4 linked regions of the Lytechinus pictus genome follow. The protein of the gene in region 4 binds, or shares a complex with, the protein of the main gene of each other region. Links are inferred from orthologs where the notes say so. Each region holds a gene or a part of one and is shown on either strand. Other genes may lie near its edges.

Region 1 (7,616 bases), on a different chromosome or scaffold from region 4:
ATGCTAGTTTGATTTTTCTCTATTTATTCAAATCAACATTTTTCTGGGGTGGACTTGACCTTTAAATCACTTCCATTGAAACATGTACAAATGATTGACAATATTTTTATTTGTGGCAGTTTTACTTTTTTTTTACTAAAAATAGAAAGATTTTATCAACTTTATAATCATCAAAACATTCTTCTTCATAAGCGGTTTAAAGCCCCCTACTCCACTTTCACTATGATTTTAAAAAAAAAATCATTGATTTAAATCACTTCCATTCAAACATGTACAAATGATTGACAATATTTTTATTTGTGGCAGTTTTATTTTTTTCTCCTCAAAATAGAAAGATTTTATCAACTATATATCATCAAAACATTCTCCTTCATAAGCGGTTTAAAGCCCCCTGCTCCACTTTCACTATGATTTTTTAAAAAAATCGTTGATTTAAATCACTTCCATTAAAACATGTACAAATGATTGACAATTTTTTTATTTGTGGCAGTTTTACTTTTTTTTACTCAAAATAGAAATTTTTTATCAACAATATATCATCAAAACATGAATAAATCCTTTATCGCAGTTACCACTTAGCCCCCTACTCCACTTTCACTATGATTTTTTTGTTAAATCATTGATTTAAATCACTTCCATTGAAACATGTACAAGTACAATGTACAACTCCTGGTTTATTGTACTAAAAGAAATAATTCAAATAAACCTGCAACTTTTCCCAATAAGACACAGCTTTGCAAATCAATGATTTAAACAATAACAAAGCTCCAACCATGGCTCAAATACCAAAGGAGGTTTAAATTTGTTTTTTAAATGGAGTTTTTTTTATTAAACACATGATTTTCAGTCCTTAGTTTGAAAATCAAGAATGTTTCTCTTTCAAGAATATGAGTCTCTGAGTCATGGAATTCTTCCAAAGAAACTGATCCTCATTTCATATTTGAATAGGAACACTAACTTATTAGCTGTACCAAGGCAGTTCCTCAACTTGACCAAACCAGTCAGTAGGAGCTAAATACCCGACACGAGAGGATGCGGAAACAGCATCTTCGTCATGACTTTATACAGACCTGCATACATGTATTCTTTATAAATTACATTTTGGCTGGATTTAATTATGAAATAGAAAAGTTAATAATAATTTTAGTTGTGAAATGTATGATTTTTAAAAAGATTTCAGTGTAAGGGTTATATTTTTGGTATTTCCACTTTGTTTTAGAAAATAGTCAAAAAAAAAAAAATCTGATTTGAATAAAAAAAAATTGATTTAAATCAAATAAATCCTATCAATTTATTTTTTTTTTATAAAAAAAATCGCCAACCCTGACAAAATAGATCTAATGACAAACGTTACATGTACATATGATTTTTATTTGATTCAATGGACAATGATGTTTTGGTCCAATTAAATTTAGATCTATGCTTAACTTAATATAAGTGTCCAATATTTGGGTACTTAGTTTTACTCTAAATTATCTAAATTTCTAATTCATTTTTTTTCATAGGAAACTCATACCAAAAAATCTAGGAATTCATACATGCATACGTACTGTAGACCAAAACTTTGGTCTCTGTTATGTTGGTTGTTCCGCTGAACTCTGTAGGCTCCACTCACCAATTACAGAGACCAAAGTTCTAACTCGATCTGTACAGGGACTCAATGGCCATATGTTTATGTATTAAGTTTGGAAAAACCAGGGAAGCTCGAAGTGGCAGTTGCGCGACAGCCGAAGCTTGCGAAGTAGACTATCAAAGTCACTGTTTTTTTCCTTTTGAGTAAGTTTTTTCCCCGTTTTGGTGCATTTCAGGCCAAAACGGAATACTAATCTTTATTTTGGTCCATGAGCCCGTCAGGGGTTTTTGCATTGTTATTTATGTTAACCCCCTAATAATGGCGGCTGCACAATCGCTACCGTCTATTAATCATGGTGACGTGTGTAGAATTAAAACAAAATTTAAAATGTTTAAAAAAGTACTTCTCGAAACAGACGGCTACCAGCTGTCTAACTAGACTAAAACTTAAAAAAAAAGCTTCGGTCTCTGTTACATTTACATGTATGTTGGTTGGTTGGCTCCACTCACCAAATACAGAGACCGAAGTTCTAGCTCGATCTGTACAGAGGACTCGATGGCCATACACTTTATGTTTATGTCTTAAGTTCGGATAAAACAGGGATGTGAAGTTGCGTGACAGCCAAAGTAAGTCACTGTTTTTTTATTTTTCCCCAGTTTTAAGTTTATTTTTCCCCGTTTAGGTGCACTTCAGGCCAAAACGGAATACTAATCTTTATTTAGGTCCAGTTCTTTTTGTATATTTTTAAGAAATAAAGACAAAAATCCATGAGCCCTATCGGGAGGAGTTTGCATTGTTATTTATGTTTACCCTCTAAAGGCTCTATGGCGGCTGCACAATCACGAGCCGTCTTGTGACGTGTGTACGAGGAGAATTAAACAAAATTTAAAATGTTAAAAAAAACTTCTCGAAACAGACGGTTGCCAGCTGTCTAACAACATACATGAAGCATTGTCCTCCATGGTAGACTACAGCATGGAGAGTCTGTGTCCAACAATACACTGGCCAGGCCATGTTTAACCCATGCAGAGGCCGTCAACTACCAGGCAAGACACACTCACTGCCCCGACAAGCACGGCCAAAATTGTCCTCGCGATCGAGTGGGGTCACGGCTTCGATCACAGCGAAGCTCTCCACCCAAGCACCTTTTACGTGGCGAATTGATTTAGTGATGCAGCAATTTTATATCACAGGGCCGTAATAAAACTGCAAATAAACTGATTCATAATAGACCAATCGCTTTGGAACTTTAAAGTACATTTAACCATTTCCATACATGTAATATCAATGAGCTGATGATAAAAAATATCTTACGGTTAATGAGAAAATCCTACTTTAATCGAGGACATCGTTACCATCCATTTGTTCAAAATCACGCGCCGATCAATGGTCTTCTCTCCATTCGGCCTATTGTAATTGTACACTTCGTATTTCGCATACGTTTTTACCACACAACCTCGCATAATAAATAAATATTAAAAAGTGTTATCTAAGAATAAAGTTAGGCACAAATTTGATATAAATAAAATATTTTGCTTTAAAAATGTATTTTATTATTGGCAGAAAACTTTTCTTTATAAGTGTAATTTATCATCACATTATTACATTCTCACAAATTGATCAGTCTCGCTCAACATGGCAGCTTCCATGAAACAACAATTATCGACTCTCTTGAGCGCTGGTGGGGCTCCAAAAGACCTAACAGAAAAGTAAATATCATTTAAGAGTATTCAAAATAGTTTTCAATGTTTGATTTGTCTTCTTTAATAGGAAATTGTTATTTTATGAGTATAATTGATCCCTCCTTTCATCATAGAAGATCGTGGGATTAACATTTTTGTTGTATGCATATACTGTAGTGTAGTCCCACGCATTATATCTTTTGTCAGTATGAGGATACCCATTGCCCATTGGCTCCTCGATCCTCTCATTCACACTTGTTCACTGCAGCCAGGGTGACCAGATTTCACAAAATGAAATACGGGAAAATTGACAAAAAAGATCAACAAAGAAGGCTACACAGTATTCGACTTGTGAAAAAATATAATTAAAGAATTGGAAGGGTGGGTGAACGAAGAATGAAGAAGAGAAAGAAAAGACGAAAGAAAAGAGATAAATTGAGAATAAAGAAAGAAAAAATGAAGGGAAACAAATATAAAAGAATGAAAGAAAGTTAGAATTAAAGAATAATACTTTTAATAGAGAGAAAAAAGGTTTCCGTCATTCTTTGAATTGAATATAGAAAGAAAAGAAAGGAAGGGAAGATGAATAAATGTGTGAAAGACAAAATAAAGGAGAGAGAGAAGAAAAGAATGAAGGAAATAATAATGTTTCCTTTGAAAGAAAGAAACAAAGAAAGAAGAAAAACAGGAAGGGAGGAAGGAGGGTAGGAAGGGAAATAAAGAATAAGGGAAAGAATTAGAAGGAAAGATAAAACAAACAAAGAAAGAAAGAAAGGGAGGAGAGAATGGAAAAAAGAAAATAATGGAAGGAGAGAAAGAACGGAAAGAAAAAGGAGAGGAAAGGAGAAGGAAGCAAATAAAGAAAAGTTTAAGGAAAGAAAGAATGAAGGAAATAAAAATGGAAATTGAATAAAGAAGGAAAGAAAAATGAACAGAGAGAGAGAAAGGATCAGGAAAGAAAGATCGGAAATAAAGATAGATCGAACAAAAAAGGGCAAGCAGGATGGATAGAAGGATGAAAGAAGGATAGAAAAGAAAGAGGAAAAAAGTTCAAACTTCAAGCAAACAAAAACAATCCAATCTATCGAAAATCATAATGATATTTGGTGTTTTTTTTTAAACTTAAATGTTTTAGAAATGAATAAAATTTCAAAGTGAAATATTGTCAACTTAAAATTAGATGAAACGTGGCATCATACATAACAAGACTCAAAACGAAAGCTGAAACACCTAGATCTAGCTATGAAAACTCAATAACTTGTTCCTCCGATTACATCTCCAAATCAGTAATCTGAGAATCCATAATGTAATTATACAAGTTCCCCACCGATTTTGTGTCGTTGTTTGCTCCATTGAGAATCTGCTGCGATCCTACTTGCCTAGCTAGTAGCCTGCCACACACAGGCAGGAGGCCAGTTCGTTTTCAATGTATATGGTTAGCAAGAAAATCACTGCAGAACTTTAAAGTTTAGTTATTGATTTGATTGTTGTCTCTGCTTCGTCATCTGTTGGTTATTTTATGAAAATTCGTCACTTTTAAATGTATTAACTACATTTTGTTCAATATTCTGAAATACGGGACAAATAGGCGTCCCAGGAAGGGTTTGTCAGGACGCCGGGACAAAGCAAATTACGGGATGATCCTGGGAAATATGGGACGTCTGGTCACCCTGACTGCAGCCCCTGCCTGTGGGGAATCTTCATGTAGATCTATGGTATGCCAATGCAGTACACAGCACACACTTTAAAATTTCATTAAAAATATCACTTTTGACTTTGGTCACCCAAAATACTAATTTCCATAGTAACAATACAAATTACAGTTGCAATTTATTTTTCATGATAAAGTAAAATAAAGGGACTAAAGACATTACTCATTGGACTAACTTGGAAATCATTTTTTCATTCACCAGAGCTCTCAAAACCTTGAATTTGGGGCATATTTTGTGTACACCCTCTATTGGTGCATGGTGGAAAGTAAAATTGCAAGAAAATTGTTCTATGCTAGTTTGATTTTTCTCTACTTATTCAAATCAACATTTTTCTGGGGTGGACTTGATCTTTAAGAGCCAAGTTATTGATTTTGATGAATAGTTGTATGGAAACTGACAGTGTCAAAAAATCTAAACATTTTTCCCCAAGAACATGAGAAAATAAGCCAAACATTTGCCAACCTTACTTCACCACACAGGAAATAGTTATAGAGAACAAGGTTCTATCATAACCTTGTTCATTGAATGAGTGCTCATTGTTGAATTTTCTACCGTCAAATTAGTGATTTTGAGACAGAATTTGAGATTATTGTTAGTACGGGAAGCTAAACAACATCAGCTGGGTATCAGCAGAGTAAGGTGACAATGACATGGCTGGGCTCGAGTCATGACAATATGAAATCATTTATTTCAAATGTCATGTATTCCTTGATAAGCTTGATATCTGTTTATAATTCAGGGTGAGGGTCACGATCGTCCCAATTAATTCAGGGTTCAAACCGGGGGGGGGGGGGGGGGGGGTGCACTCAGTATATAATGCGTTGTGGGTATGTGCTGCGGAGGGGACCCCCATTTTTACACTCAAATTTCCGTTCCAAGGCATAGCATTTTTATCTTATTGAGAAAAAGATCAAAGAAAGCCGCTCCAAAGCATAGCATTTTCTTCTTATCGAGAGAAAAGAAGAAAGAAATCCGCTCCAAAGCTTAGCATATTTTTCGTTACGGTGTTCTGGCTGCATTGATCCGCTACAATGTGCTGCAATTTTGGTGAAAAGCGGCCGCAGAGCGCTGTCCGTCCATCGCCTCTGCGCGAGCGCACCCGGCGTCCGTGCTGCCGGGCTAGCTGCATGCACGTATGCCCATTCCATAGGGATGCATTCGCACTCACATGCTGGCGACCCGTTCCAAGGACCCCGTTTTCACAAACATTTATAGTTCCGAAGCCTGTTCCGAGGACCCTCCTTTTTACAATAAGCCCGCTCTAAAGGTTTTTGTCTCGCCCGCGGCACATACCTACCACTTTTTTAGTCGAGTACCCCCCAGGGTTCAAAGGGTTAAGCACGGGTGTGGAGGGGGGGCAAGCCAGAAGTTTATTAAGAAACAGAAATATTGGGGGGGGGGAATCTACTGGAAATGATGAGTACTGCCCCTTTGACATGTCCGTTTACAACTTCCAGACATGGAGCCCTATGAACCTATTGATGGCTAATTTTGCTCACCCATTTTTTTTACGCCCTGCTTGAAAACTTGGACACCCAATTCTAAAATCCTGGCTAAAGCCCTGCTGGGCCTGATCCCTACCCAATACTTTTTCCTTCTAAATCTTAAGTTTTCTTTCATAAAATAATACTTCTACCAATGTTATAATATTGGTCAAATTTGTTAGCATGCCCAACCGCCATTAAATCCACCAGACCAAATAGATATTTAGTAAATTTTCTTGTTTTCATTGTCAAATTGTTACTACTAATTTGGACGGATTATAAGCTATTATTAAATTTCCAATGAAAATATGAATATTAACACTGGTCATCAAGATGGGATTCCAACCTATGCTAAGACATTGAAATGAAGAGAGGTTTGCCGGGCATATTTGCTAATATTACCAACATATTTGTCTATTTTATTGCAAGGTTCGATCGTAACGAAATTGATCTCGATATTTTGTAAGTATGACATCTTGAAATGTACTGCCATGTTTTATATTGTAGTTGTAGTTCGACAAATCACATCAGGTCATGTAAGTTACAATTGAATCCTTTAAATTTGATGACACATTATCATTGGTAATGATTCAATCAGATAATGATAATGAACATTTTCCTATATTTTTATCACGTGCAGATATCGTAAAATCCTAACCGATATTCTACAGCTTGGTGAAGATGACCTAGTAAACGGACTGCAGTTCTTCATTGAAACAAGTACGTAGATTCCTATTTCTAATTAAAAAAAAAAATTTAAGGGAAAATTCTGTTGGGAGGAGGTATTGGAATAATAAGTATGAGCTTTCAAGAACTACCTCGTGTTATTTAACCCTTAACGTGCTATGAACACATATCTGTGCATCCACTGGAGTGCCACAAACACATTTTCGTGCAATGGTCATACAGCTATTGTTATGCCTATTGCATTTTGAGGAGTGCATTGCATGCATGAGTGATTCCATTGTTCAGTTTAGCTTATGGTCAAGAGGTTTAACATAATTGTCTCATGAGTGATTCTCTTTTTTATAAATAAAACATTTAAATATAGACTCTGAAAAAAAAGTGGCACTCGCTGATTACAGTGAATGGCACATTAAGATTAAGAGTTAAAAAGGATATAAGAGTAAAAAGGTCCACTGCAGAGGATTGCGTTTCAGTTGCC
Region 2 (6,893 bases), on a different chromosome or scaffold from region 4:
GTTTACAACATGGATACATGACATCCGTCTGGTAAGAAACCTCTAATTTGTCTTATTTTGGGGGGGAAACTATCATACCTTTATACGCATTAGGTGTATAAAGGTATACAATTTAATAAAATTTTGGTCTATATATGGCACAAGTTCTAATGTTAAATATGAAGGGAATTCCCTTCTGGACTACGATCTTCTCCACAGTGGCATAGCCTGCCTTGTCTAGGCTCCGTGATCAAATTGACAATATCAAAATCATAAAAAATTTTGATCACGGAGTCCTCTAGGCTAGATGAGACGAGTATCGCTCAGTCAAGATAAAGAACTGAATGTCATGTATGGACTAGAGTTAGCGACCTACGCCTACGGCAGCTCACCTGTTCGTTTGCATGATTTTGGTCGCTAACCATTCCCGATCGTGATAATTCAGAAAAGGGGTGGGCATTATTGACCTTGAAATGTGATTGAGAGACTTGCTATGACATTTGGCTTTTGCAAACAATTAATACTGGTGGGGAATTCTCTCAAAGCTGGCTACCGGCACTCGTTATCCACGACCATTCGCCATACAGCAAAAGGTAGGGGATGGGAAAAGAGGTATGTGAGGCGTAGTCATAGACAAAATTTGTTATAAAAATAATAAAAAAAACGGATGGAGGGAAAATGAGCAATGTATATTTTTACAATTGGAAGGCATACAGCCGAGAACGAGGTTATATTATAACCTCGTTCGTAGTATGAGTGGCTACCGGTGCGAAACTGCAGCCAGGCAATAAAACTTGAGTTAACGTTCGTCATTAGACATTAGCCCCAAACTTCCAAGTCATGAAACTATCGAAAGTCAGATTCAATGACAAAGTCAATGTCAATCAATGTGAAGTTTTCGTCACAACATGATCAGTAGAGGCGCACGGCCAATATTGGAGACTGTCTCCAATGTGGGAGATTGTCTCCCCTATTAGAGAGAGTCTCCCATATTGGCCGTGCGCCTCTAGGCTCTACTGATGATGTACCTCGAGCGAAGTTCGTGCAGGCTCCACTCCACTTCACTACCGCTACACTACGCTTCACCTACCCGAACTTCGAGACCATGAACTCGATCGGATATTCCAAGTGACAAAAGGTGGGATTTTATGGGGAGAAAATACAAAATTCATGCAACATCACGATCTTTAAAAACAAGTGCAACTAATATTCTTACTTTACACTAAGTTTCACTTCTTTTCCATGCTTCTATCAGTCTCAAAATTGATGATTTAGAGCCAACATGAAGTAGGGTGTCTGGAGAAAAAAAATTATTTTTCTTATTTCAAGAAAATATCACATTTTCTTTGTGAATTTGAAGAGAAATGACCTTCAGACTGACAGAAATGTAAATTTTTTGAAAAAATTCCAATTATTGGCTGCAAAAAAGAAGAATGAAATTAGGTCAATTTTCAGCATTTCTCTGCCATAGACTGTGTAGTTAAGAAATGGACACACACAAATCCAAATTTCTAGCTTCCGAGAGCTGTTATAAATTCATTACTAATGCCAAAAACTTGTCCATAAAGAGTCCAATAGGATTTTTTATGCTCTATCTGATGGTATGATTTTTATAAAGATTTGGAAACCAGATCACAATGAAAAATTGCGACAAAGTGAAAAAAATTGTGCAAAACAGAAATTTCATTTTCCCATAGAAAACGCATGGAGAAATGGCAATCTCAACACACACAAAAATAAGGGTTTGCAATTTATCTCTAAATCCTTATTCAAAATGATCATATAAACTTGTCCTTACTGTCAAAAGAAGCCCCTGAATTTTCTCTTTCCATACATCCCAAACACAAGTTAATAATCAATTCAGATCACATTTTTCTAGTAGCCTGAACTTCCCTGAAAAAAATGTGCCATATTTCCCCCTAAATCAGCCTGTTTTATGCTGACACTTTTCAGTGTGGCTTCAGACACCCTACATGAAGTTCCTCACACGTATAAATATTAATGCGCTGCCGACTTCAAAACATCGCATGCGGGAGGTACCGGGTCTGGTCCGAGCTCGGACCCTCGCGCGCATGCGATGTTCTGAAATCGGCAGCGAATTATTACGTGTGAGGAACTTCATGTTGGCTCTAAATCATAAATTTTGAGACTGATAGAACTTAGAAGCATGGAAAAGAAGTGAAACTTTGTGTAAAGTAAGAATATTAGTTTTACTTGTTTTTAAACTTAAAGATCGTGATGTTGCATGAATTTTGTATTTTCTCCCCATAAAATCCCACCTTTTGTCACTCGGAATATCCGATCGAGTTCATGGTCTCGACGTTCGGGTTGGTGGAGCGTAGCCGTAGTGTAGCGGTAGTGAAGTGGAGTGGAGCCTGCACGAACTTCACTCGAGGTAGGCCTACTGATGATTATGATGATGTGGCAAAAAAAGAAAACCATTAACCATTTGGCTGCCAACCATTTCCTTTGACTTATTAGATCCTCGTTAAAGTGAATGATAGTTCTTTATATGCCTCAACCATCCCAAAATTTTCGAATTTCTGACTGGTATTAATTATTTATACTGATTTTGTCACAGCACAAATTTACACACGTGGGACTACCCGCAGGCGTAAACTTAGAAAAGGTTTGTCAATGAAGTCCAAACTTACGAAATGCTCCTTCACTTCAGAGTTATGCTTCAGCTGCAGTGTTCCACATCGATTTGGATGTACTTTTGGCAAATTAGACCTACTCAGCTGAAATGTGACGACATTCTGACTCATTCATGCCACTGGACAACTCATCGCAAGAGTCGCATGCCTAGCTACATGTAGCAATCCGTTTGCTCCATTTATATTTTGTGTACAAAATGTGTGTGAATATTGCACGAGTATAGTTTCCCGCGAAAACCCATGATGAATGATGATGCGAGGTGACTACTACTTCCGGTATTCCTCTCTATTTTTTTTTTCTTTCTTTATACCTTTGTCTTTATACCGCATCTGAAAATATACAGCGTTGTTCCAGCAGTCAAGTATCCAGGTCTATCTTTATGTAGGCTACTGTTTCATCTTTTCGAGGAACTACCGAACTAGTATGGTCCAGGGCCCAAGGTCCAGCACCGGGGTCCAGCATTTCTTTGAAAATAAAAGAAAGAATTAACAAACATCCGGACAAACATATAGGCCTATATAGTAGCTAGGCCCGGTAGCTAGGCTACTTATGGGGAAATGATTTTAGATTTGCATCCCGAAGATCAGCAATTCCCGGGCAATTCCTAGCTGACTCTCTCCCTCTATCCCCCCCCCCCAAAAAAAAAAGTGTTTTGTAAAGCTCAGGGAGCTCAGCTTCGATCCATGGCTTCCTCTGAATATTCAGGTCTACCCAAAAAGTGGAAGCGCAGATCGAACTTTATTTTGTTTCAAATAAAGGGGCAGAAATGGAGGGCATAATAAATGATATATGGGGCAGCCGAGGCAGATGACTCGACCCATCGATCTTGATCTGAAAAGATATTGTTTTTACCGTTTTACTTAGGGATATACTATTAGGGAGTATACTGAACGAAGTCATTATATGTATTCAGTTCCAAATTCCTTCTCCTCTTTAGGTTGGCCGGATCATGTCCTGGTGGAGATTATTGAATGTTTCTATTGATCATTATCTTACATTATTTTATCAGGCCATATTATGTTTAACAAATACAAAAACCATGAGGTCAAAATGTTTGAAGTGCATCACCCCTGGCATCATCACCATATACAGGCAGATTATCACCCGGCCCACAGGTGAACCTGATATTTGCACTAGCTCTTTAATAGGCCCCCTCATATCGCAAACTGGTGGCAGCAGTGGGATCAATAATGTACGATGGAAAAATAAGAATGTTGAGTTAAAAGCTGATTACTAAGCCTCATTCAGTCAGTGTGGCTAGCCACATGGACTTAGTCACCATATAGCTATAAATATTTTTTTCCTGAAAGGGGGAGATGGGATGTATGTTTAAAGGGATGGTCCAGGCTGGATATATTTATATCTAAAAAATAGAGTAAAATTCAAAAAGCAAAATGCTGAAAATTTGATCAAAATCGGATAAAAAAGTCATTGAATTTTAAAGATATGCATTATTCCGGTGAAACAGTTCGAGGCATGTCTTTATGAATATTAGGTGGGCTGATGATGTCATATCCCCACTTGTTCTTTTGTATTTTATTATAGGAAATTAGAATTATTCAATATTTTTCTACCAAGAACTGAACAATTGAATTGACAACTGATTGAGTGCATTAGTTATTTATTGCCGCAACTTATTTCATCATACGGAGACACATCATTTATACACATGTATGAAAAAATGAATCATGTATGATTTCATGTAATAACATAAGAAAAAGGAAAGTGGAGATGTGACATCATCAGCCCACCTAATGAATGTTCATGACGATGTGCTTATAACTGTTTTCACAATATATTGATAAACTTAAAATTCAATAACTTCGTTATTTGTTTTCCGATTTTGATGGAATTTTCAGCATTTTGCTCTGTGAATTTTACTCTATTCATTTAGATGTAAATAGTTTCAGCCCGGACCATCCCTTTAAATGCATGATACGATATGCAACCGAAGGTCGAAATGACGGAAAATAATGTTTTAAACGCATTTCAAAGCTTGAGATTGACGAAACTGTTCCTATTTTGGCTGTAGGCCTACTTTTCAAAATCTTTCATTCTTGAATTTTTTTCTATTTTTTCTATGTTTCAATTTGTTCATTCATTTATTTAAGAAGAAAAAAATAAGAGGAAGAAGAAAAAAGAAAGAAGAGGAAGAAGAAGAAGAAGAAGGAGGAGGAGGAGGAGGAGGAGAAGAAGGAGGAGGAGGAGGAGGAGGAGGAGAAGAAGGAGGAAGAGGTGGATGAGGGCCCGGGGGAGGATGAGAATAAGAAGACTAATAATAAGGGCGAGGAGAATTAAAGAGGGGGAGAAGGAGAATGAGAAAGTGAAGGAAAAATAAAAATGAGAGATGCAACATCTCGTTTGTAAAATAAAATCGAAACAATATCAACGAGACATAATTTTCACCCATGAAAGAATCATGGATCCTTCCCCGCGCCAACCGGCCCGCGGCATCTCTGTAAATGGGAGATTGTTTAGCTACATGTTGTACATGTATTTTGTGCATTTTAATTATGTGTTGTTTTATCATAGCGGGAGGTGGCTTCAGTAATTCATTCAAATGAATGCGGTATTCACTGATATTTTCAGTTTTTATTTCATACACTTAAAAAAAACCAATCACACAACTAAAAAGTCAACATAGACTAAATGTAATGTAAAGATGATAAATAATCTTTATTGCATGAGTATACTACGTGGCAATCATTAAACCCCAAACCAGTTGTAGAAAAAGTAAGAAACAATATGCACATTTTAAATGACATTATAAAGGCAGTATTATGGTACAGAAAGGATGTGCTGCAAGTTTTTTTGTTTCAATATTATAAATTCTTCATATTTCCCCTTCTACATTCAAAGCCAGTGACTGCATGCAGAAATATATACCAGTAATGCTGCAGTCATATTCCCCCCACGGCGGCCATACGGCAAGTCAAGAACAGCCGTTTTATTCATTTTTATTCAAACCACCTATATTTAGCTGGTACAAAGAACATTAAAACAACTGTTTTCGACTCGCCGTATGGCCGCCGTAGGGGAAATGTGACTTCGCCATTAATCTGTATAAATTACAAATCTCTTGCACAGAAGAAAAATGCCAAGATCTTACATCATTTTCATTGCAAAATCTTGTCTGGCCATTCATTTTTAGTATGCAGTTTGATAGCTGGAATGAATTACCTCAACCCCCAGTGTATCCCCACATTGGTTGCAAAGTTGTCATTTAATTCTAGCCCTTCTGAAAAAGGACTAAACAAGATAGGCCTATTCATGTTGCAGTTAAAGTGTCCTAGGCATTTTGTTTTCAGGGGCCCTGTAGCATGAAGGTTAGCGATTGATCATGGGATTGATTTTTATAATTGATTGCATTGACTATCATGTATGATCAATCGTAAAAATCAGCCCCACAATCAATTACTAAGATTTGTGCAACTGGGTCCAAACATTATGAACTAAATTGGGTGACATATGCCTTAGTGCATAATATACCAAAACTTTACCATTATTGACCTCCTCTTAATATGGTACTTATGTCACGCTAGTTGTAATCATTTTCATTTCAACAATTGGATCATCATTCAAGATCTATCAAAAAACCATCAACTCATGGATAACGAGATTTCCACAAAAACAAAATAAAACTGGCATTCGACAGTTGAGGAAACCTGACATACACAAAAAACATAACCAAAGATGCTATGATGTATAAAATAGTTGAGATGTTCCACAGAAATATATGAAGAAAAAAGTTATAGAAATGTGAAAGCGTATAAAAATTTCGCCTGAGAAACTATACAAAATATTGGCAGGATCAATTCTAAATGAATGTAAAATTTTCTTTTGATGAATCACTTCATACATAAATATAATCATCCATCCAATAGCAAGACTGGACATTTCTGTCCCTTATTGAGCTAGCCACACCCATCAATAAATGACCACACCCCAACACCTTGAGAGCCACTACTGAGTTACGTCGCCAAGAAAAGTGAATATAAATATTCAAATGGCTTTAAAAACAATTTATGCTGAGATTAAAGTCCAATTGCATCTAACAAAGACTTCACAACTTGCCACATTTGCACTTGCTGGACTTGCCTTCAATGATATCCAAAATCTGAATTATTGTGATACATATTGCATAAGTTTAATTGATTTATTAGGCCAAATTATGCAAAAGCATGTGTTACATAAATTTTCTAAGCAAAATTTCTCCATTGTCATCAAACAGATTTTGGTTGTTCCAGAGATGGAAT
Region 3 (7,158 bases), on a different chromosome or scaffold from region 4:
CTTACTAAACCCGTTTCACGAAGGGCTTCCTAACTAGAATCCCTTGATATCGATACTATCGGTTGAAAGAGCAGACGAGACGTAGCCTTAGTCACAAAATAGCATAATTTTTGAAAAGCAAAAATATGATAAAACTGCAACTATTGTGATTAATTTGGAAATACATATAATAAAAATAATAGCAGAGGCAAAATATGAACCATGCATACTTAAACCATGAAGACTGGAGCACTCAATTGCTGAGAAAATCAAATTATGAATAATTCATTTCATGACTAAAAAATCACATGGGGACATTGAGATGGGTATCCCCGGGATAGTAAATTTTGATAGTTTACGAAAGTAAACCACAATTGTTTTCTTTGTAAAATAATGATAATTATACGTTTATTTATGGTTCCAAACATCATCAAAATATAGTTTAACATAAATGTTTAAATTTTTACACACCGAAACACACGATTTTGACAAATTCTTTGCATAAATTAGAGATAGTATTTATCAAAAATGTTGATAAGTTTGAAAACGACGAATACGAGTCCAGTTATGGATGACCTGCCGTGGTAGAATCTTTATCGATTCAATTATTTTACTATTTCAAAATGAGTGGTTTTGTTGCGTTTTACCAACAGTTTTTATAGTTTCTGTGCATTACAACTATTATTGAATGATCTATCACACCTGTTTTGCAATGTAATTTCAACTTCTATGAATGATTACGTAAGATTACAATTTTCAAATTTTGAGGCAATTTTGCATGTCATAGTCTACCCACGTGATGTAGTCTTGAGGACGCAATGATGATGATTTTTAAAATAATGAAATATACTTCTTCATCATTGACGTCTTGACACTCTTCCCCCAGTCGCATAAGAGAAGGACCATAATAAAGATGGATTTCCCTCGGAAATCCATCTTTAGAAACAAAAATCACTTTAATTGTATTGATTTCATTAATTTTCACACCTTCCTACGCCTAATGCGTAGGAAGGTTTTAAAAATTATAACATGAAAATGTGAAAAATTTAAGGTTTCTTACCTAACTGATGCTGAGTAAACCCCTCGAACCACATGTAAACAACGTAAGTACAATAGCGTCGACCCTTGAACCGCTTATGTATGACGTACTTCTGGCTAGCGATGCCGTTCTGATGAATAATTTATAGAAAAAAAATTATTTCGCAAATGTTAAAATTTATCACGTAATTAAAAATAATTGGTATGAAACTGACAATTATTTTTAATTTACGTGATACATTTTAACATTTGCGAAATAATATTTTTTTTCTATAAATTATTCATCAGAACGGCATCGCTAGCCGGAAGTACGTCATACATAAGCGGTTCAAGGGTCGACGCTATTGTACTTACGTTGTTTACATGTGGATCGAGGGGTTTACTCAGCATCAGTTAGGTAAGAAACCTTAAATTTTTCACACTTTCATGTTATAATTTTTAAAACCTTCCTACGCATTAGGCGTAGGAAGGTGTGAAAATTAATGAAATCAATACAATTAAAGTGATTTTTGTTTCTAAAGATGGATTTCCGAGGGAAATCCATCTTTATTATGGTCCTTCTCTTATGCGACTGGGGGAAGAGTGTCAAGACGTCAATGATGAAGAAGTATATTTCATTATTTTAAAAATCATCATCATTGCGTCCTCAAGACTACACGTGATGCCACTACGTCATTAAGAAAGTAGCTATAAAAGGTTCGGAGGTGTCATAAATATTTGGTCAGGTTGTTGTCCCCGATCTTGGCAAAGAGGGCTTCGTGAAACGGTTAGCGGACAAGTAGCTCACTATCTTCGATTTAGTCAAGAAGTTAGACTTATGACGGTGTTGAGAAACGGGCCCCTGGGCTCCCGCCCGCTGCGTGGGCGGGAGTTCCCTGGGTTAGATAGCGAGCTGTCTGTGTATGAGGAGAAATTTAAAAAATAAAAAAATGTTAAAAAACTCCTCGAAACAGACGGCTGCCAGCTGTCTAAGGCTACGGGAGACAGTCTCCGATATTATTGGCCATGCGCCTAACTTGTTAGTGTTACTGCTGAGCTTCACCGCGCGCCGCCGCCGAACGCCTCCTCGGCCTCGATGAGTAGTCTCGCCACTTTCTTTCGACAGCTGCGACAGTCGTCACATGTGTAAACCAAACGTGATCGTGAACCTTCGCCTGCATGCATGCATGCAGCGCAGCGCTGGTACCGGTAAAGGTAACCCAGAGAGCTCCCGCCCGCGCAGCGGGCGGGAGCCCAGAAGCTTACCGTGTATTTTACCATTGTCACCGGACTAGGATGATTTATGGTCTAAATATTTCTCCAAATGATTTGTGAAAACGGAAAGTATACAATTACCACGATTATATGGATGAAGGTCTAACGAGTGGCAGATTCCTGACATCTGGGCACAGTCTGGAACCTCAAAAAAACGAAAAGTTCTCTCCTTCTACCCAGTCTCGATCGGCCATTTTGTTACGATTTTTAACAAAAATGGCCGATCGAGACGGGGTAGAAGGAGAGAACTTTTCGTTTTTTTGAGGTTCCAGACTGTGCCCAGATGTCAGGAATCTGCCACTCGTTAGACCTTCATCCATATAATCGTGGTAATTGTATACTTTCTGTTTTCACAATTCATTTGGAGAAATATTTAGACCATAAATCACCCTAGTCCGGTGACAATGGTAAATTACACGGTAAGCTTCTGGGCTCCCGCCCGCTGCGGGCGGGAGCTCTCTGGGTTACGGTAAAGGTAGTTTTTGAATTGGAGTGAGAATGAATGGCCCTGTATTTACGATCCTTCATCTTAGAAATCTGATGAATGAAAACAAATAAAAATAGCATAATATTCTCACCATTGTCCTTTTCAGCCATGCTTGTGGGTGTTCTTAGTGTCACAGAAACCAGGAAAGATGAAAATCAATGTACGTTTTCTGCCAAGAACAATAGATTTCCTCCCCGCCAAACATGCAAAAATGTCGCGCGGAATGGACACGGAAGTGTCAATAGAGGGCCAGAGACAGAAATCGACGGATTATCGAACTGATGCGAAATAAGAATAATCCAGGACCAGGGGAAACAATTATTTTTCAAAGTTTAGATCATTCTTTCATATTAACCTTAATATTACTTTACAAGTAAAAATAAAGATACTGAAAAAGTAACGATCGAAGTACAAAATCTGTTTGAACCGGCTGAATCGGACTGATACCGACAAAGGTGGATGGGGGGGGGGGGGCGGGCGGTGGATTGACATTAAGGCGGGAATTAAAAAAAACAAAAAACTAGTTGGCCTTTTATTTTCCCCCGGTAAAATCATCTATATGAGTAATGTGCCACCCAATCATATGGTATCTGTCATGGAATCCTTGATTTTGATTGGCTATTGAGCTTGAGACTTGCTACCATTGCAGTGGATGGAAAAGTTACCATATCAGTAACTTTAAAGGGATGGTCCAGGCTGGAAATATTTATACCTCAATGAATAGAGTAAAATTCACAAAGCAAAATGCTGACAATTTGATCAAAATCGGATAACAAATAACAAAGCTATTGAATTTTAAAGATTTGCATTATTATATGCTGTTCTAGGCATGTCTTTATGAATATTTATATTTCGGTGGGCTGATGATGTCATATCCCCACTTGTTCTTTTGTATTTTATTATATGAAATTAGGTTTATTCAAAATTTCTCTACCAAGAACTAAAACAATTGGATAGACAACTGATTAAGTGCATTAGTTATTTGTTTTTCCTCAACACATTTCATCATAATGGAGACACATCATGAAAATATGAAGAAAAAAAAAATACATTTCATGTAATAACATAAGAAAAAAAAGGAAAGTGTGATATGGATGTGACATCATCAGCCCACCTAATGAATATTCATGACGATGTGCATATAACTGTTTTCACAAAATATTGATAAACTTTAAAATTCAATAACTTCGTTATTAGATTTTGTTTTCCGGTTTTGATGAAATTTTCAGCATTTTGCATAAAGATTTTCAGCCTGGACCATCCCTTTAACAACGGGACCCAGATCCTTTATGCCCTCTCAGTCACATAGAATTTAAGGCAACAAGATCTTGTCCCGTGCTGAGTGTTGTAGATCCCAGAGGTGGGTGGCATGGTGATACACCCCGCCCCCCCCCCCCCCCATGCACCCAGTCCCATATGGAAGAACATTATAATGATTATTATATAATCATATGACAAGGATGATCGTGTGATAATGAGGGGGTAGACTATATTAAGAACATCATGATGGATGGTATCTGGTATCATCATTGACCACCATTTTTTCATCGTAATTTTCTTGATTATAGTTCTCGGAGACTAAGCGGATAGACGGAAACAAATATTTGTGACAGTGATACCCATATGCTTCGAACACAATCGGTATTCTGGGAGGGGGCGGGTACTGTCACATATATATTAGTTTATTTTCTTCTTCAATCTTCTCCTGCTTCATCTTTTTTTTATTGCAATAAGACTTTTTGTGAAGTGACGTTAGTCGGCATAATGTCAATAATTATTCTCGAGAATATGGCTGCGACGCCAAAACCAGTATCAACCCCCCCAAAAAGTCCGAAGTGCATGTTATTTCTTTTTAATTAAAATGTACGAAGTAGTTTGTTATATTTTGTAAATATTAATCAAGATCTTCTGTTGTCATTAAAAGTCAAACACGTGGAATTGGAGAAGCTGAGTAAATTCTGATCATTCGCATTATTTGTCGTGTAAATGTAAAGTGCAAATTGAGCGATCCCGGTGTAGACATTAAATGTGCAAATATATGCATCATATATGAACGTTGCAAAAATGAACCCAACATCATGTTTTCAGAAAAGTATTAGATCTAAAATGCTGTCAATCATTTCAGTTATATCGATGTAATTAACAATCACTATCGTACAAACTGTTTGCTGCTGCTGTAGAAGTATAGTAGTAGTAGTAGTAGTAGTAGTAGTAGTAGTAGTAGTAGTATAGTATATTATTATTATTAGTAGTAGTAGTATAGTAGTAGTAGTAGTAGTAGTAGTAGTAGTATAGTAGTAGTAGTAGTAGTAGTAGTAGTAGTGGTAGTAGTAGTACGTAGTAATAGTAGTAGTAGTATAGGAGTAGTAATAGTAGAATAGTAGTAGTAGTAGTAGTAGTATAGTAGTATAACATTGTTGTTGCTGTACATGACTATTTTATTGTACACAATTAATCGCCATCATTATAATCGCACCTCATGCAAAATATCATCAGAGTTGCTTTTCGCTTACACTGATATCATTGGGGTTGATGATGATGGTGGTTGTAGTGGTATATAGCGATACAGTTGTTATTTTGTTTTATTGTTGGTGGGGATTTTGGTGGTATGTTTGTGGCGGTGTATGGTTGTGGTGGTGGCGGCGATGGTGGTGTTGATGAGGTCGTGACAACGTGGTGCATGGTGATGGTGTTGGTAATGTTGGCGATACTGCATTTGTTGTTGTTGTTGGTGGTGGTGATATCACCAACGCAGAAAGACACCTCCCAGAATATACTGACTATGTATTCAGAAAGTTTTTTTTATGTTTTTAATGAAGTTCTTTCAAAAAACTTCATGAGCCGTTGACTATATGCCAATCAACATCCATTTGGATTAACCAAGCCCAAAAAAAATATGAAAGATAATAACCAGACTGCATAATATGCATTTGAAGTAAAACTCATTCTACACAGTTCGTTTTGTTTATCTTCTATCGACCAGGGCCCTGTCTTACAAAGATTTACGATTGATTGATCATCTCAATACATGGAAATCCAACAATATGTCTTTTTTTTCTCAGGAAATTTGCATGATGTCTTTGTAAACAAAGAAAAGCTCACTGAATTTTCAAGAAAACAATGAATGTATGATTTCACATCACATTTAGGAAATATTTTGTTTAAACATGCTATTTGTAAGACGGGGCCCTGGCTAGCTTGCTCGTGGATTGCAGTTTCACTAATAACTTATGGGATGTGATCGGCATGGGCAAAAATCCCGGGGATAGGGGCGGGGGACACGGGGCTGGCAATTTAAATTTTGTACATCAAGCCTGAAGTTTGTGATCTTCATCATCATCATCATAATCATCATCGTCACCACCACCACCACCATCATTATTATATTCACCACCATCATCTTTTTTATGCAGTGCTTGTTTCGCTCGCTCGCATTCGTTTCTTTAAATTTCGCCCCTTATGTCATGTCTGGCCCCTCATTACCACTGATCATCATCATCAGTACTAACCATCCGGTGTATTTTTGAAGGTTATAGAATCACCTTTCTCGTGTTTTTCTTGAGAGGCTTGAAATTATGGCCCTTGCTGTGGAAGCGGGGGTGCTGGGGTATTAACCCCCAAGATTTGTTTGGAGGGTGGTGTGTGTGTGTTTTGCTCCATAGACAGAGCACTCCTTGGAATCTGGTAGGTAAAAAGATCGAAACCTAACCAGAATCACCCACATTTTATTGTGAAACTTTTTTTTTTGGGGGGGGGAGGGGTTGTCAAATTTTTCTTCCAAACCAGCACGTACCCCTATAAAAAATAAAAATAAAACAAAGTTTTTACATTATTTACTTCATGCTGTGTATAATTCTTACTGCTTTCTTTTTATTATTTCAAATATATATAAACATCTGCAAAATAATGTACCCGCTCCTCCTTCAAATGTTCGAAATTCGACGCTCTTTATCAAATACAAAGTTTTCATTTGTTTTTCTTGTAAACACCATGCACTTACACAATCTTTCGACAAGATCTGGAACATTGGTATTGTTAATTCGAACTCATGCGCTGTCGGTTAAAATCGATCTCTTCGATCACGTGTTATAATGTGTATCGACAATATACAGCAACCAAAATGTTCCAGATCTGCCACATTGATATTGTGTTATATATTCGAGGTAAGCACCCCCTCCCTCCAGTACAAGTAATCCCAGATAAATACAGCTGGTATTGCTTGAGGATCGTGTGTGATCCCAGGCAGCATCAAAGGGAAAGCACGCAAGAACTGCTCATCTTCATCAGTTCATCGACTTGTTTAAGGTACCTATATATCTGGTAAGTGTGGAACTCTTATCTTAATCAACGTTAACATGTTAATGTACCATAGTGTAAAAATATTCTTCAGAACATTAACA
Region 4 (7,203 bases):
GTTGGACCTCTGGCTGTCCTTGTAACTTGTCTTTATTTATTACTTGACCCTTTAAACCATGGGTTAAACACCAAAATCATATACCCCAGGCTGATATTAAACAAACTATGTCAGTTTTTTGGTAAGAACGGCCATTATAGACTCCATTTTCGGAAGCCATTATGGATTTTTGGACATACTGGAACCACTATTACTGTCCTTGTAACTTGTCCCAATGTAATACTTGACCCTTTAAACCATGGGTTATACTAAAAAAATCATATTCAGAGTATCAGCAGCCATTTTAGACTCCTTCATTGGAAGCCATCTTGGATTTTTAGACATACAGGACCATTGACTGCCCTTGTAACTTATCCTAATGTACTACTTGACCATTTAAATCAAGGGTTAGACAACATAATCATATACCCAGGCGGTTATTAAACAAACTGTGTCGGTTTGAAATTAACAACAGACATTTTATACTCCATTTTTGCAAACCATCTTGGATTTTGGACATGGAGGGCCATAGACTGTCTTTGTTACTTGTCCCAACATATTTCTTGACCCATTAAACCAAGGGTTAGACACCAACATCATAATCCTCAAGGCAGATATTACACAAACTACTGTATATCGGGTTTTAAGATAACAACATCTATTTTAGACTCCAATTTCGAAAGCCATCTTGGATTTTTGGACATAAGGGACCCTTGACTGCCCTTGTAACTTGTCCCAGTTTACTTCCTGACCCTTGAAATCACCAATGAATAAAACCCAAATAAAAGACACTAAAATAGGTAATAGATGAATTGTGAATTGTTAGGCCATGGCAGCCATTTTTACGCAATCTTGGATTTTCAGGTACCTGGGAGTGCTTATGTTCATTCTTTCTTTTTACCCCCTACACCATTGAATACATGTACATGTATGCACCGAAAAAGATGTCTAGTATAGATAAAGTGTCGGTTATTTAAATTTTCAGTTAATGGCGGCCATCTTAGACGCCATCTTGAAAACATCCATTTTCCCCGTCTCTGGATATTGGTAAATTTTTAATACGTTATTCCTGCGAGCAGATAGTACCAACAAGTGGAATGCCTCTGGCCGTCTCACCTGCATCACGCGATTCAATATAGCAGCAGTGCTGATTTTGAAAACTACTATAACTCGCACAAGATGTTCAGTGATACTTGGTTACTCTTATTTCCACGTTTTATGAACTAGACCCATACACTTATAGAGATATGATGGTAATTCAACAAATACCCCCAACGTGGCCAAAGTTCATTGACCTTACATGACCTCTGACCTTGATCATGTGACCTGAAACTCGCACAGGATGTTCAGTGATACTTGATTACTCTTATGTCCAAGTTTCAAGAGAAAGATCCATCAACTTTCCAAGTTATGATGGTAATTCAACAGATACCCCCATTATGGCCAAAGTTCATTGACCTTTGACCTTGGTCATGTGACCTAAAATGCGCAAAGGATGTTCAGTGATACTTCATTACTCTTATGTCCAAGTTTTATGAACTAGACCAACACACTTTCAAAGTTATGGCGGTAATTCAACAAATACCCCAATTTGACCAAAGTTCATTGACCCTAAATGACCTTTGACCTTGATCATGTGACCTGAAACTTGCACAGGATGTTCAGTAATACTTGATTACTATTATGTCCAAGTTTCATGAATCAGATCCATAAACTTTAAAGTTATGATGGTAAATCTACAGATACCCCCAATTCGGCCAAAGTTCATTGACCCTAAATGACCATTGACCTTGGTCATGTGACGTGAAACTCATGCAGGATGTTCAGTGATACTTGATTAACCTTATGTATAAGTTTCATGAACTAGGTCCATATATTTTCTAAGTTATGATGACATTTCAAAAACTTAACCTTAGGTTAAGATTTTGATGTTGATTCCCCCAACATGGTCTAAGTTCATTGACCCTAAATGACCATTGACCATGGTCATGTGACATGAAACTCAGGCAGGATGTTCAGTAATACTTGATTAACCTTATGGCCAAGTTTCATGAACTAGGTCCATATACTTTCTAAGTTATGCTGTCATTTCAAAAACTTAACCTCAGGTTAAGATTTGGTGTTGACGCCGCCGCCGTCGGAAAAGCGGCGCCTATAGTCTCACTCTGCTATGCAGGTCAGACAAAAACCAATTACAAGCATTTTTGTTACAAGTTTTGGGGTTCAGAATAGAGCAAAAAAAGGGTGTAGAATGGCGGCCATATTGTTTTTGCCAATTTGAGGATTTTAACATCAAAATCAAGGTTGGCAAACAGCAAATTTGGACTCAGCGCCCTCAAATTATGCTAAAACACTTCTCAATTCAGCATTAACACGATTTGCCTAAGGCAGTCTACTTTTCTCAAATCTGGACCCGACTATAAATAAGAGGACAAAAGAATTTGCCTCTTCAGCTCATCTCTCTGGAATGCTGTTCCACTGAGGATCCTTTCAGCAGATTCACTTTAAACATTTGAAAAATATCTAAAATCATATATGTTTTCATCTTATTTTTGTTGAATATTGGAACCTCATTTGATCTGTTCATGCACCCATACATACAGCAAGCAAACATTATTTTATATGTAAATCCTTAGCCCCCCCCCCCCCATTCCATCTGCTTCCCAGGATAGTTTACTAGATAGATGAAGCATAATAAATCTTGCATTTATTATATTAAGCTACAGGCTTAAGAATAGTTGAAGGAATGTCAGCATCAACAAGAGCAAAATATAGAAATTGGTGAGCATGCATATCTTCTGATCATTTTTCTTTTGATTGCAAACCAACAAGTCTCAAGTGATCTTTGAATAGCAAAGCTTTGTGCAGTTGTTGGTAACTCTTCAGCTGAAAGAGCACCCTCTAATGTTTAAAGATTTAAAATACTTACATAGATTTCCATCTTTCTGTAGAGTCCATAGTTGAGTATGAGATTATGTGTCATACGTATTCTATGCGGTTTCATGGGATGTCCTTGTCCATAGTAATAATTCCCAACATCACCTGCAATAATAAAACACAAATTAATACTCATTTATTTCATTGAATAAATAAAACAAGCATAGTGATTGTGGACAGGCGCTGTACCATCATCGTAAAAAATATCATCAATAGTAAAGGTTAACAACATCAGGACCCCATTTCACAAAATGTTGCAAGTGTTGCTGAAATGTCAAGTAGTATGACAACAGTGACAATCCTGCTTTCTGATTGGCTCTTCCAACAAATGTTAATATTCAAGAAACAGTTGCTATTTTAGCAACTTTTTTATGATATGGGCCCCTGAATGAATAGGCAAATCTTGATTCTTTTAATTTCTTTTGAATCTACTTTACTGCAACAAGTTTAAACAGCACGATCTCAAGACCTAAGCCAAAGCTTCACACTTAACTTTTTTCTTGGGTGGCCGCTCAGTCCACCAAAATCATCAATATCATATTTTCGGTGGCCCACAAAACAAATTTGGTGGCCCTAAAACAATAGAAAACATTACAATTTATCAAAACTTTGGTAGCCAAACCGGGCAACAAAGTGTGGGCTTGTAAAGAATTTTGGTGGCCCAACTCTCATTTCTGGTTGCCCCGGGCAATCAGGCCACTGCTAATGTCGGGCCCTGCCTAAGCTACCTAATTATCAACCTGCATCATTAAAGGTCAAGTCCACCCCAGAAAATTGTTGATTAGAATCGATAGAGAAAAATAAAACAAACATAACGCTGCAAATTTCATCGAAATCGGGTGTAAAATAAGAAAGTTATGACATTGTAAAGTTTCGCTTATTTTTCACAAAAAAGTTAAATGCACAACTCAGCGATATGCAAATGAGAGAGTCCATGATGTCCATCACTCACTATTTCTTTTGTTTGAATAATACAATATTTGAATTTTTACAGATTTGACAATAAGGACCAACTTAACTTAACCATAAACTGTTAGAATAATGGTAATTCCACATGTTCAGGGAGAAATAAAACTTTGTTTCACTTGACAAGTAGGAGAAAATTAGAATATTTCATATTGAATAATACAATATTTGAATTTTTACAGATTTGACAATAAGGACCAACTTAACTTAACCATAAACTGTTAGAATAATGGTAATTCCACATGTTCAGGGAGAAATAAAACTTTGTTTCACTTGACAAGTAGGAGAAAATTAGAATATTTCATATTGAATAATACAATATTTCAATTTTTACAGATTTGACAATAAGGACCAACTTAACTTAACCATAAACTGTTAGAATAATGGTAATTCCACATGTTCAGGGAGGAATAAAACTTTGTTTCACTTGACAAGTAGGAGAAAATTAGAATATTTCATATTTCATATAATAAAATACAAAAGAAATAGTGAGTGGGTGACGTCATCAGTCTGCCAATTTGCATAACGACCAGGATGTGCATATAATTCTGTTTTTTAAATTAAGCGAAACTTTAAAATGTCATAACTCAGTTTACATCCGATTTTGATGAAATTTTCAGTGTTTTGCTAGTTGGATTTTTCTCCTTTTTGAAAATCAACTTTTTGTTGGGGTGGACTTGTCCTTTAACATCCAGGCTGAAGAGAGGAGGATAGTGGGGTTCAGTAACTTGAAGACAGGTACTTGATAAAACTAAACAGTCTGTGACATAGTATAGTACATTTGTACAGTTGATGTGATCTACCTTGATGATTTATAGCACACATGTGGAATAAATATACTTCCTATGCATTGATGCATCAATTTGAATCAAACAGCAGCATGCTTTTATATGTAACTGATCGAGGACCTGTTTAAAGGGGAAGTTCACCCACCCTGATGAAAAGTTTGTTGTAAAAATAGCAGAAAAATAATGACAAATACTGCTGAAGGTTTGAGGAAAATCCATTAAAGATTAAGAAAGTTATCAGAATTTAAAGTTTTGGATTTGTGACATCATAAACGAGCAGCTGCCCCATATGTTATATATGATATAAAATGCATAAATTTCAATTTTTTAATGGTTTTTGATGACTTATTTTTGTTTTCTTTTAAGACACGGGTGTGAAATGATTTATGTATTGATATACTGAAGGTAGGGGAGACCGGGGTTAGTTGGAACGCGGGGTAAGTTGAAACATTGTAATTTTCTTTCACGTCTTTAAATAAATTTCTGCAATACTGCCCCCTATTTATTGTCATTATCAACAGCCATCCACCATATTACAGACAACACATGTGCAACAAGCCTGGTGAAGTTAGAAAGGAATTTTTGTTTTCTGACCTTCTGAGTAATTTTTTTCTCTTTCAGAAATGTTTGATTATCTCAGAGAAGTTTATAGATCAAGTTGGCCAGTTTGGGGGTATAATAGACACTTATACCAAGCTACAAAATTATGTTATTAATATGCCATGGTCAAGTTCCTTTTTTGTGCTGTAAGCTTATAAACGTCAAATGGGCCTCCGGGGTTAGTTGGAACAAAATTGAAGGGGCTAGTTGGAACATGTTCCAACTTATCCCAAACATAATTATGAATAAAAAAATTGGATATGAGAAAAAATATATAAAGTATTTCACGCTCTTCTGAACATGTATTGTATACCATGCTTGTTTTGTTTATCAGTTAGGTCTGAGTGTGCATTTAAGGCCTATGGTAGGCCCCTAATGCAATATTAACCCTTATCAAACTGGGGGTCAATTTGAGCCCCCCCCCCCCCCTCGAGAAATTTCGCCACTACGCCGTCGCGCGAATTTTTTTTTACTACACTGCTCGCTGACTTTTTTCTTTCAAGTCTTGCGCATCATTTGAGACCAAATTTGCGATGCCTGTGTGCGCGGTTTCGAATTTACGCAACAATTTGTACGTGCATGGTCAAACCCCAAATTGTTCAAAAACGTGATTCCATGTACAAGGTCAATGCAAATTATGTTTTTCAACCCAAAAGTCATAAATGTATAATTATTTTTTACTTTTGTTGGTTCAAATAGATTTATTTTATGCTATTTATGATCGCAAAAGAGTCCCGAAAAAGTTCATCGGAATAAAGTTCGAAAATACAAATAAAAAAAACAAAAAATACATAAGAAATTATATTTTTTGCCATTTTTGGTGGATATTTGTTATAAATGTGAAAATTGATACTCTCACCAAAAATTAGCATTCTACTAGCTTAATAAATAGAGTTAAAGGCAAAAACATACCAAAAAAAGCAAATTTAGGGCAAATTTCATATGCTTATTTGTAGTTATTTGCATAATTAATTAATGAAAAACTATAAACAATTAATTTTTGTCTTATAAAGTTGATGCAGAAGTACATGAAATTACTGATAGTACACCTAATTGCATGTAAAATCAAACACACCCAAATATGCGGAATTCTACTACACAGTCTGCTTGCATGAGTGGCTGTATAATAGAAAACATAAAGTTCAATGAATCCACACTTTGATATTTTGAACTTGAATAAAATAAAGCAAATAGGCTAAAACCATGTAATATTACAGTTTTAAGTAGTTTTAGTATAATTCTTAATTGACCATGCAGTGTTCCAACTTACCCCATACCATGTTCCAACTTACCCCGTATTGGGGTAAGTTGGAACGTTTGCGATGGTCTTGTTCAAGGTGGATTTTTTTCAGTATCCATATAGAGTTAAAAATTTTATGGGGTACATTTGAAGCCTGTAGATATATGCTTCAAGCTGATATATTGATTGTTTCTCGAATAAAATCTTTTTTGGATTTTACAGCCATTTTTGTCAAAAATGTTCCAACTAACCCCGGTCTCCCCTACAGTAAAAACCATTTTCAATTTTCTAAAATGACATTTCATTGATATTTTACCATACGATATGTAGGAAAGCTGCTAGCTTATGATGTCACAAATCAAATATATAAAATTCCAATAACCTTTTTTATTCTTAGATGGATTTTGCTCCAACCTTCGACAATATTTTTCATTATTTTTTCTGCTATTAATTACAATTAACTTTTTGTCAGGGTGAACTTTCCCATTAAATTGTACATTGAATCGATTTAAAGGAAAACTTTGCCTTAGTTTAAATTTTTCCAATTCACGATTCCTTGAATACTTAAAAACAACTCCTGAAACTTTCACCATGAAGTTCAATTCATAAATGGACATTTAAATGCATACATGTATCATACAAAGATTAACACTGCATGGTTTCAAATGTCCCACCAAACAATCAGCCAATCAA

The links.
Region 1: histone deacetylase 1 (region 4) and protein lin-54 homolog share a complex: the UniProt entries of both Drosophila melanogaster proteins name them as parts of the DREAM complex. The link is inferred for Lytechinus pictus from reciprocal best matches to the Drosophila melanogaster genes HDAC1 and mip120.
Region 2: histone deacetylase 1 (region 4) and metal-response element-binding transcription factor 2-like share a complex: the UniProt entries of both Drosophila melanogaster proteins name them as parts of the form of the Esc/E(z) complex. The link is inferred for Lytechinus pictus from reciprocal best matches to the Drosophila melanogaster genes HDAC1 and Pcl.
Region 3: histone deacetylase 1 (region 4) and histone-binding protein RBBP4 share a complex: the UniProt entries of both Drosophila melanogaster proteins name them as parts of the DREAM complex. The link is inferred for Lytechinus pictus from reciprocal best matches to the Drosophila melanogaster genes HDAC1 and Caf1-55.

Annotation. Positions count from the first base shown.
Region 1 is NC_087262.1:10,333,959-10,341,574, reverse strand, and holds the start of protein lin-54 homolog, read right to left. Parts: upstream 3,001-7,616; 5' UTR 2,888-3,000; intron 1-2,887. Other genes in the region: COP9 signalosome complex subunit 4-like, read left to right, coding at 3,209-3,282, 7,092-7,171. UniProt on the Drosophila melanogaster protein: Component of the DREAM complex, a multiprotein complex that can both act as a transcription activator or repressor depending on the context. In follicle cells, the complex plays a central role in the site-specific DNA replication at the chorion loci.
Region 2 is NC_087259.1:16,247,735-16,254,627, forward strand, and holds the start of metal-response element-binding transcription factor 2-like, read right to left. Parts: upstream 3,011-6,893; 5' UTR 2,748-3,010; coding exon 2,634-2,747; intron 1-2,633. UniProt on the Drosophila melanogaster protein: Polycomb group (PcG) protein.
Region 3 is NC_087248.1:6,917,345-6,924,502, forward strand, and holds the start of histone-binding protein RBBP4, read right to left. Parts: upstream 3,002-7,158; 5' UTR 2,869-3,001; coding exon 2,850-2,868; intron 1-2,849. UniProt on the Drosophila melanogaster protein: Core histone-binding subunit that may target chromatin assembly factors, chromatin remodeling factors and histone deacetylases to their histone substrates in a manner that is regulated by nucleosomal DNA.
Region 4 is NC_087261.1:583,670-590,872, reverse strand, and holds the start of histone deacetylase 1, read right to left. Parts: upstream 3,028-7,203; 5' UTR 2,984-3,027; coding exon 2,909-2,983; intron 1-2,908. UniProt on the Drosophila melanogaster protein: Catalyzes the deacetylation of lysine residues on the N-terminal part of the core histones (H2A, H2B, H3 and H4).